2 linked regions of the Oreochromis niloticus genome follow. The protein of the gene in region 1 interacts with the protein of each later gene in a pairwise test. Links are inferred from orthologs where the notes say so. Each region holds a gene or a part of one and is shown on either strand. Other genes may lie near its edges.

The links. The genes of interacting proteins can lie anywhere in the genome.
Region 2: the proteins of lnx1 (region 1) and aida interact in binary tests that used the Homo sapiens proteins (3 or more experiments, as listed by UniProt). The link is inferred for Oreochromis niloticus from reciprocal best matches to the Homo sapiens genes LNX1 and AIDA.

The regions. Positions count from the first base shown.
Region 1 is NC_031986.2:37,504,503-37,509,450, forward strand, and holds the start of lnx1 (E3 ubiquitin-protein ligase LNX), read right to left. Parts: upstream 3,277-4,948; 5' UTR 2,978-3,276; intron 1-2,977.
Region 2 is NC_031980.2:14,133,578-14,138,525, reverse strand, and holds the start of aida (axin interactor, dorsalization-associated protein), read left to right. Parts: upstream 1-1,680; 5' UTR 1,681-2,034; coding exon 2,035-2,141; intron 2,142-2,856; coding exon 2,857-2,923; intron 2,924-3,010; coding exon 3,011-3,064; intron 3,065-4,509; coding exon 4,510-4,564; intron 4,565-4,915; coding exon 4,916-4,948. Other genes in the region: E3 ubiquitin-protein ligase rnf8, read right to left, coding at 118-246, 453-593. UniProt on the Homo sapiens protein: Acts as a ventralizing factor during embryogenesis. Inhibits axin-mediated JNK activation by binding axin and disrupting axin homodimerization. This in turn antagonizes a Wnt/beta-catenin-independent dorsalization pathway activated by AXIN/JNK-signaling.

The sequences.
Region 1 (4,948 bases):
TCCAAACAAGAAGAAGAGCTCCAACTTCTGGTTCATCAAATGAACATTGATGTTTTTTTTTCTTATACAAACTAATAAACAAATATTTCAGCCTCTTTGAAGTGCTGAAACTGAGAATCTCAAATGACAACACAAGGAAATGTAGTTTTTTGGCTTTAGAAACCAATATTGACCCCTTAATAAACTTAAAATGTAATTATGTATATATGTCTGTTTGTATCCTATCTTCTCCTTAATGTGAATCTAAGAGGGTACAAGGTCTATTACAACCAGGATTAAATTATTAAACTTAAATTATTGACCAAAGAAGTCAATACATGCACTTTGTCACTTTGTATAAAATATAAAAAGTGTTTAAAATTTCACAAATTGTAATGTCCAGAAGAAATTTATGAAGAGATAAAATGGATATTGAGTAGAAATGAGTTAAACCTATTGATGCAGCCCTTAACAACAGGCCAAGTTTCTCATGTGGCCCCCTGGGAAACTTAATTGCACAAGGGGCCACATGAGAAACAGGTAGCACTAGGAGCTACATGCGACTCCTGCGGATAAGAACATCTCCCAACATACGCAAGATATTCCAGAGAAAGGAAAGACAACGCAACTAATGGGAGGCCCTTCCTTTCTCTGGAAATCCGTTCTGTTCAGTCAAGTCAAATCACAACAGCTGCCTTATGGAACTTTACATTGTAAAGTAAAAATACTACAATAATAGTGAGAAAACCACAACAATCAGACGACCACCTATGATCAAACATGTGGTGCGAGTGGGAAGGAAAAATTACATTTTAACAGAAAGAAATCTCCAGAAGCAACAGGCTCAGGGAGGGGCAGCCATCTGCCGTGACCGGGTGGAGGTGAGGGGATGGAGACAGGACAAAAGAGACACCGTCAATCAAGATATATAATTCCTGTTTGTGCTGTTTGTCATTGTGCTGGGAATTTTTGAACTCTTAAAACAATTTCTCACTGGGATCATTGCATTTCTTCTAACTTACAATCAAAGATTATCTTATGTTTGGTTATTCCAACAGATTGATGATGTCTTCCATTGGGTGTAGTTATTTTTTCTCAAGAATTTTTCAGTGGAGAAGTTGAGCCTGACATCCATAAATAGCATCTATACAACATGGCACAATAGCAGGGATATTCTCAGTGCTGTTACATGTGTCTACATGCAGACATTTCATGCTTCTGCACACCTTTTTTTTTCATGCAGGCATATTCAGTGGACACACCCATGCCTGAGGAGCATTGGCTCACTCTGGATCATTCCTAATCTCTGAAGTGATAAGTTCACTTTGTCACAACAGTCCTGTGGGACTGCTGCTCTTTCCTCACAACAAAATCATTCACGACAGCTAATTGACTGAACCTTGACTACATATTGTTGACGTTTAATTATTGACTACACCGGCCATCTAGTATCCAAAGAGAATGAGAAAGGTGGGGCTGTCAGGCTCAAGGCTTTCAGTTTGGACTACAAAGTAAAAAAAAATGTTTACATGGTAAATACAACACTCAGGGTAGTCTTTATTTTCATCTTTGAACTATAGTTATGCCAGTTGTTGGTTGTCGAGGCCTTATGCAACTGAGTGCAAAGAGTGCTGTTTATTTAACATAGCCTGTGCCTTCTTTCATACAGATTGCACATTTTCTTTAACTACCATTGTTTATTCACTGTCAGGTTTCTCTCCTGTGATCTAAAAGGACTTGATGAATTAATAAAGAGACAAGGCCATGCCAAGGCAGCTTCTTTTCTTAACAAATGATTGTGAAGAATAAGCCATTAATAAGGTACTTTCTGTATCAACATTCTCATTGTCCACACTGAGCTAGCTTGTTGCTATGTACAAATCCACTCCTCATTTTTAGTCACAGACATCAAACCATATTTGTATCGACCAAACAAAACACACCCTCAGAGTAAAAGTCAAAGCCTGAGAAATCAGACAAAGTATGAGTGTCTGCAACGCAAGGTTTAGTTCATGCTGCAACATAATGATCTGTCTGTCAAATCAAAGCACCGTGTTACTGTAATTGACAAGGAAGACACCTGTTACAGGTGTAGTTTCAAGACCGTGAAGATAATAAACTGATCTGTGACTCGTGTTAGGGGAAAACTCACTCAGAGAGTGGAAACAATAAGTTGCTCATCAACAAATGGGTTAGTCATCATATCATAAAAATATTTAAATAGTACCAGATAACCTGCTGACAGGTCAACAATCAAGGACTCTAAGCGTAACATAGCACAAGGCAGGCTGGACTCAGGCACAAAAGTTATGTGTTGTAGAGCATAGACCAAACATAGGCAGTTGTGTTCAGACATGTCCATGAAACAGAAAAATTCCAACAAGCCATTTTTTCTCTTCATGCAAACATCTGTTTTGCAATCACACACCGATAAACAATGGAAAAAAACAGCAACAATCAGCCAGCTATCTATCAAGTATTTAACTGCACACCAAATGTAACACAGCATAATATTTTTGATGTCTTCAGCACATTTTGTTCCTTTTAGAATAAACACGGGATGTGCAAATCAAATATTAGTATAATTTCTGCCCTTTTACTAATCTCTGCATTAGGCTCGTGTGTATGTTTGTCTATCCTGGCCTGTCTCTGAGTTCATAGCAATCTGAACATTGAGTCTGAGCCAGACCTGACACCTCAATCTGGGAAAACAGCTGAAGCCAGATGTGAAACCCCATGAAGCGTCACTTGTATCTGAATGGCTGAGTGGGTCAGAACAGACTGTACTTAACACCGGCGCACATAGAGAGAATAGAGAAAATCGACATACGCTACACTCGCATGTAAACTCAAACATACAAATTTAATGCAAATTTTTCCATGCAAACACTGGAGCAGCAATAACTGCTGGCACGATGTTCTGTGTATTTTAGTGAAGCAGTTAAGATAAATAACAGACACGCTTCGAATAAAATGTAAAATAGGAAACTATACTTACATGGCTTCATAAACAACATTCACTTTCGGCAGTGCAGTTCACCTGAACAGGTAAAGCCTGGCAGGCAGTGTAACTTTAAACCATTCAGAGAGGAGGTGGAGGGGAAGGACAGGAGAGTTAAATGACTCCGTAAAGAGGACTTTGTCCAACTCAAGCAAACCGGAGACCGACTGACAGTCTTCAAGTAGAAAGAGAGAAATTTTATCCTGCTGCTGGACTTTATAAAATATGGAATGAGTCCAAAGCGGAGAGGATTTCTCCTGTGTGAGCCCAGAACCTGCTCACCTCTAAACAGGCAAAGGTGATCAGGAAGTGGGCAGAGAATAGAGGCGTGGTTAGAGAAAAGGTAAATAAGAGAACTGCCCAAACCTGTATTGGGAGTTCAGCAGAAGCTGGATTTTCTTCTAAAACAGTGTGGGCAGAGGAACCGAAACCTTGAACTTTTGTTAAAGGCAACTGAAACATTTCAAAAGTGACTAGTGCTAACAACAAAAATATTTTTAATTAACTAAAATGTCATGCAAAATGCCACCAGTGCCTTAAACTACAAGTTCAGACAGGACCTTTCTATAACATGGCAAAGATTTAATAACCCACTAAGCATTTTAAACACCTACATGATTGATTTTCTGCAGACCACTTACTGAAACAGAAACACTGTGCTCTGTAGTTTAGCAGAAAGCCCATAATCTGAGTAAATGACAACATGTCTCAGGTTTTTATAATGTTGCCAGGTACTGTAGAGTAAGCATTTAAACCTTTCTACAAGACAGAAATTGGAATATTTGCTAGCTGTATATGACTTTCTTTCTTATAATTATCTAAGCTTTCCTTTAGAAAAGCTGCTTTTAAATCCACGCGTGTGATTCCAGCTTTGCGCAAAACAGTTGTTATCCTTTGTGTTTTCACGTGTGGCTTCCTTCTTTGCTTTTCCTACCTCAGGCTGCTCTTTAAACACAGATACTGTGAGCCACAGGTGCTCCAGACTCACTGCAGACATGAAGTGACAATTCTTTATGAGTCACTCAGTGACGCAGGCAGAGCTGAATCATTTACCTTGTTTATTAAGAATATTCTCAAACAGTACTCGCTTGTAACATATTATTATGCAGTACCTGTCAGGGTTTTTTTTCCCCTCATCTGAAGCTTATTTTGAGTGCATGAAGGGAACAAACAGATGGGTTACTTAAAAGAAAATAAATGACTGAAGTGTAGCAAAACAGTTGCAGTTGGGTCAACCAACCAGGAGTAAATCTATTTAACGATTTTAAGATTGTGATAAGTAAAGTTCAATCTTTTCTCATGTTCACAATATCAGCAGCATTTGTTTAGTCCATTTTTACCTCCAAGTGCAATTTATTTCAGTTGCAGTTCACATGGAGCTCACAATCCTGCAAATGTGTTGTTGTTGTTGTTGTTGACATGAACTTAAATGTTCTTGGATTTGGAGATATAAATTTGCCACTCTTATATTTTCACAATCACTGTAAAATTAGAGGATGAGTAATAGTTTCTGAACTAAATGAGTGCAGTCTTCTCTTCTCTTCTCTTCTCTTCTCAGCAGGACTCCAGCAAACAGTATGATATGGCAGGATGTACTAAGAGTCAGGAATGCTCATGAAATTCGCCTTATGCTAAATTATACAGTGTGTATTGCTGCAGTGAATCAAAGATTTTAAGTTTCTTGAACTCTTAAGTTCTCTTTGAAGTGCTGAGTTGAACCTGCATCCTGTTTCATTTCTGCTGATTCCTCAGCTCCCTGCTGCTGGAGCTTATCTAAACACTGTAGTGCAGGTGAAACCAATCTCCACCTTCTTCCTAGCAAACTTCCCTGCCTTTCTCTTATTTCTCCATCTCTCAGAAACACACACACCAAACAGTTTTACTGTTTTCTCCATTTCTTCACAGCTTAACTGTTTCACATTCCTCTGACATATTTCCTCTAAGTACCGTGCAATGATTTGAATTCAG
Region 2 (4,948 bases), on another chromosome or scaffold:
TTATCCACGTCAGCATGCCTCCCTTAGAGAAAGTGCAGCCCATCCCTGCACAGGACTTGTACCAAAGACCTCTAGCACAGCCTTTAAAATATATTTCACAATAAAGCTCGTTGTCACCTTCTTGTCTGTCACTGTCCAGTGGCCGTCTTCACTTTGTTTGAAAGTGCAGTGCAGTCTGGAGATCATCAGGGGACAGGCTGGAGACAGTAGTTGGTAAGTTACATCCACACCACGTCCAATGGTGATCTGCACAGCCAAAAATAAACACGTTAGTTAGCTCCACTCTGCATCTCTCCAGTTCTATAAAAAACGGACAGGGACACTCTTCAGCTTAAAACAATTCTAAATTATTAACCATAAATTGAGGGTAATGTTCCCCCTACATGTAAACTGGAATCTGCCGTGAACCTGAGCAAGCTTCATGTTAGTATAAATATAGCACGTTAGCTAACATTAGCAAGCTGCACCTCTGTGTTTTCGAACAAGCGAAGCCAGTCAGAGTTTCTCCCGACTCTCATCAGACAAAAAACCTCCGAGTCCGGACATTCATCGTCTTCAACCGCACAGCAATCCGCTGCCGTCTCTTTATCCATCTTATCTCATTCTATCAGCGGCCAAGTCGTCCGAAAGGACACCACTAACTGCGTTGTTTCAGCTCCTCCGCCACATCCCGACATACTGGGAGAAACCGGAAGACATTTCATTTTCTTTCAAAATAAAGGCCACAGATGTGCTTCAACGCTTATCTTTGGACAGCCCATGAATCACTTGGATCCCTCTAAAATCATTTAGTTTTTTTATTAATTCAAAATTTATTCAGCTTTTGCAGACCCAAAGTAGAAATATTACGGTGTCCATGAACATATTACAGTAGGGACAAAACAAGACGTAGAGTTTTATGTTTCGTCACTCATTCAAGTAACTTCTTCAGTTCACACAATGCATTATGCGAATATACTGTTTATAGAGTTGCTAATAAGGTCTGGAATTTAATTGCCTGCATGACTGAGCAACCATCAAGACAAATAAATAAATGAAATAACACTTTTAAATTTTACCCTGAACCAGCTGCTTAAAGTAAATACACCCATTTAGTTATATTAACACTGAAATACTCTTTTTTTTTTTTTACCCTCTCCACTTCATTTTCACCTCAGGAAAAAAAAACAAATCTTTTACAATTGAAGGTCAAGAATTATAATAATTTATAATTATAATAAAAAGTAATCATGTGGACCCTGTTAGTGTTGTAATAACACATGTTTAACTTCAAACCTTTTAATTATTCCTACATATAATAAGTTTGTGTTTGTTAGTTTGCATTTTGTATTGCCTCAAGACACCGTAGACGTCTATAATTTCTTTTGTTTTATCTCTTTTGGTAAGCACATTGAGTATAAGTGTAAGGAATGGTGCTATATAAATAAAACTGACACTGACACTGATATTACACAGTCACAGTCATATTGTATTTTATTATAAATATTATTTGTTTTTTCGTTAGAGCTTGTGTTTACTGTTATTTACCATTCAAAAGCAGTGTAGTGAAAGATACTTATACCTAAAAAAAAAAAAGAAGAAAAAAGTGGAGAATACAACAACAACAACAAAAACCCAAACAGCCAAACATGAACATTGTTACTTTGCAGTATTTTAACCGTAGTACTGCTTCATAACTGTTGCTGGTGTATACAGTTGTTAAAAATCCCTGCACCTTTAAATAAAATAGCTCTTCTTTCTCCCCGCAGCTCTCAAACCTCTAACGCGCCGCGGTGCTCTTCGTCCATTCGGGCGACCCCGAGTCCCGAAACGCGCGCACCCCGAGCTCCAGGCGGGACTTCCTTTCTCCTGCGGATGCGCTGATATTAGGGTGAGCAGGCAGAAAGGGCTTGGTCGGGGTGTCACCGGTCTATCCGCGCGCCTCTGCACAGCAGATGACCTGGCCGACGACTCCGCTGCCGCTGAAGCCCCGTAGATGAATCTCCTCCTCGGCTATGCTGCCCTGAGAGCGCCGCGAGTATCCGCCCCGCCAACATGTCTGATGTCAACAAGACTATTCAGAAATGGCACGCCAGTTTTAAGAAAGGCACAGACTTTGACTCGTGGGGACAATTAGTGGAGGCTATAGATGAGTACCAAATGTAAGTTGCATTCAACATGTGTGTCCTGTGTGTCCACAGCGCTGGTTTAACCCGAACGCAGTCCGGGCGCTGTGCTTCTTCTTTTTTTTATTCTTTTCCTTTCTCTGGGTCGCCTGTCCCTAAAATCTGCAGGGAAACATGTAGGAGACAGTAGGTGCAAGAAGTTAGCCCGTGTGCTGTCAGTCAGCTCTCGGAGCAGTAAATAAACCCTACCCATCCATGACGTGATGTGGCAGTTGTTGCAGTGGGGAGCAGATGTGTTGCCTGATGCATCCTAGCTCCGTCCACAGCAGCACTTTGGAGTTTAAGGGAGAGTCCGTCCATGTAGCCTGTCATGGAAAATCGGTCGGAGCTGCGAGCAGTCTGTTTCATTATGTGTCATGCAATGCAGAAACGGGCCAGTATTCCTCAGAGTGTTGGGAAACAGTCAGCCACACCCTCTCATTGTTATGGGTGGGTTTCATCTGCTGAGTGAGGAATGGTTTCTGCTTCTCAGACCAGATCTTTGTCTTTGCAATTTCCTTAAAATGTGCCCAGCTTCTCTCCCAGTTAATAGTTTATTTAAAACTGCACTAACAATACAAAAATCCAGATCCATGCAGCAGCTTCTACTGTCCGCAGGGGGGCGCACAGACACACACCTTACCTTATAGGAGTCTTGCAGGGTCTTGCAGTGAATCATTAACGCGTCTGTGTTTCATGTGGGTTCGTGTAGTTTGGCAAGACAACTGCAAAAAGAAGTCCAGTCAACAAATTCATCAGACTTCACCGAAGAGCAGAAGGTAATCATTACATCCGCCTGCAGCTTCTGCACCGGAGTGTCTGTCACTTTACTTAAACTAACAAGTGTTTTTTTTTTTCTTTTAAAGAAAACTCTGGCAAAGATTGCAACATGTCTGGAGATGAGAAGTGCCAGTTTGCAGGTTTGTATAGGAGTCTGCATGATTAGTAGCTACAGAAAGGAGGCAATGTCCAGGTTTTCAGAGATGCTGAGGTCATCATTATTATATAAAAGTAAAATTTGAGCATCAGCAGTTTTACTTATGCATATAACGCTTTTGAAAGTGGTCTTGAGCAATAGTTCTCCAGGCTTTCTGAAGGTCTTTCAAAGTTTGTCTTTGGACATTGGCCAATGGTCCTTGTACCTGACCATTTCCAAAGGGAAGTTTTTCCTTGTTAAGTCACTTAACACTAACCTGTGACTCATTCAAGCATAAAAAGGCACCTAATTCAAGGGACAAAACGGTCTTGTATTTACACATATCAGGCAACTTAGCAAAGAAACAATTTAAAATGTTATCTTTAGACACTTTGAGTTTTAAAAGGCATAAAATTGTGTTTGTTGGACTGATTCCCAAAGAGCTATTAACTGAAAAAGTGTCCTTAAAAAATAAAATATGGAAAAGTGTCAAGTATAGAAGAAAAGAAGAAGTGGCAGGCCTGAAATACAAAACAGTGCTTCAAAGCCTTAAGAAACAGGAAAAAATCCAGCAAAAACCTGACACAGGACCTGAGAGATCCATCTGACCCTTCAGCTGAGCCTTGTACTGTTCAACAAAGCTTCATCAGAAATGGTCTCAGTGGAAGGGTGGCTGTCAGGAAGGCGTTCTTAAGGAAAGGAAACGGGGAGAAAAGGCGAAGGGATGCCAACTTAAACAAGAACTGGACTGAAAATCAGTGCCAAAAGGTCTTATGGAGTGATGAATCCAAGTTTGACATTTTTGGTTCAAATCGTCATCGGTAAGTATAGAAGGGGTCAGGAGAGAGGTGTAGCGGTGGGTGTCTACACCCATCTGTAAAACCTTGTAATGATTTGGGGCTGCGTTTCTGCCAGTGTGTGTTAGGGATCTTGTTAAAATCGATGGAATAAGAACACAGAAAAGTACAATCAGATTCTGGTCCGTCCAGAAAGTGTTTGATAATGGCTTTATGTTTCTGCCCAAACACACTGCCAATGCAGGAAAAGTATTCCTGAATACAGAAACACACAAAGAGTCACCGTCAGTCATGGATTGACCTCCCCTGAGCCTGAAGCTCAACATTAATGTGAGATAAGTGTGAGATCGTCTCACATTGAACAGAAGACGACCAACTTCCAAGAAAGAGCTGTAAATGTCATTCAAGAAGCCTGGAGAGCTATTTCTGAAGACTGCCTAAAGAAACCATAAGAAAGTGATCATAAATCTTGACTTTCAAGCTCGTTAGAGTTGTTTTTGCCTTGTATGCTGTATGTTTAAACATTTTTCTCTTTCCCATTATGAATAAATTAGGGATGGCTCGAGACTTTTGCACAGTGCTATAAAAAAAATACATTCACTTCCTGGGGAAAAACAAATACTGAACATATCCTTTGTCTGGGTTTCTTCAGTGCACTCAGTCAAAGGAAGAGTTCAAGTTAGAAGACCTGAAGAAACTGGAAACCAGTAAGTGTATGACTGGGGTTTTTCCTGGCTCGAAATGGGCCTCTAAGGGGCGACTGCAGAAAAACATGATTGGTGTGTGTATAGTAAAGATGTTGAAACTGTGTGGCCTTATTTGACAGAACTCTACATGCATTCCTGTCATTTCTGGGCATTTTGCAAACAAATGTTTATTACACTTTAGTAAATGAAAGACTTTAAAATGTTGATCTGGCGATTTATTTTTTTTTTCCTTTTGCTCTGGCCTGTGGAAAAAATTTCTCTGTGAAGGAAAAACACTGATGAACAATTTACTGGATATTCTGACATGTTTGAATAGTGATATAATCAACTCTACTCCTTTTTCTTCAACAGTAATTAAAAATGTACTCACCTACAACAAAGAGT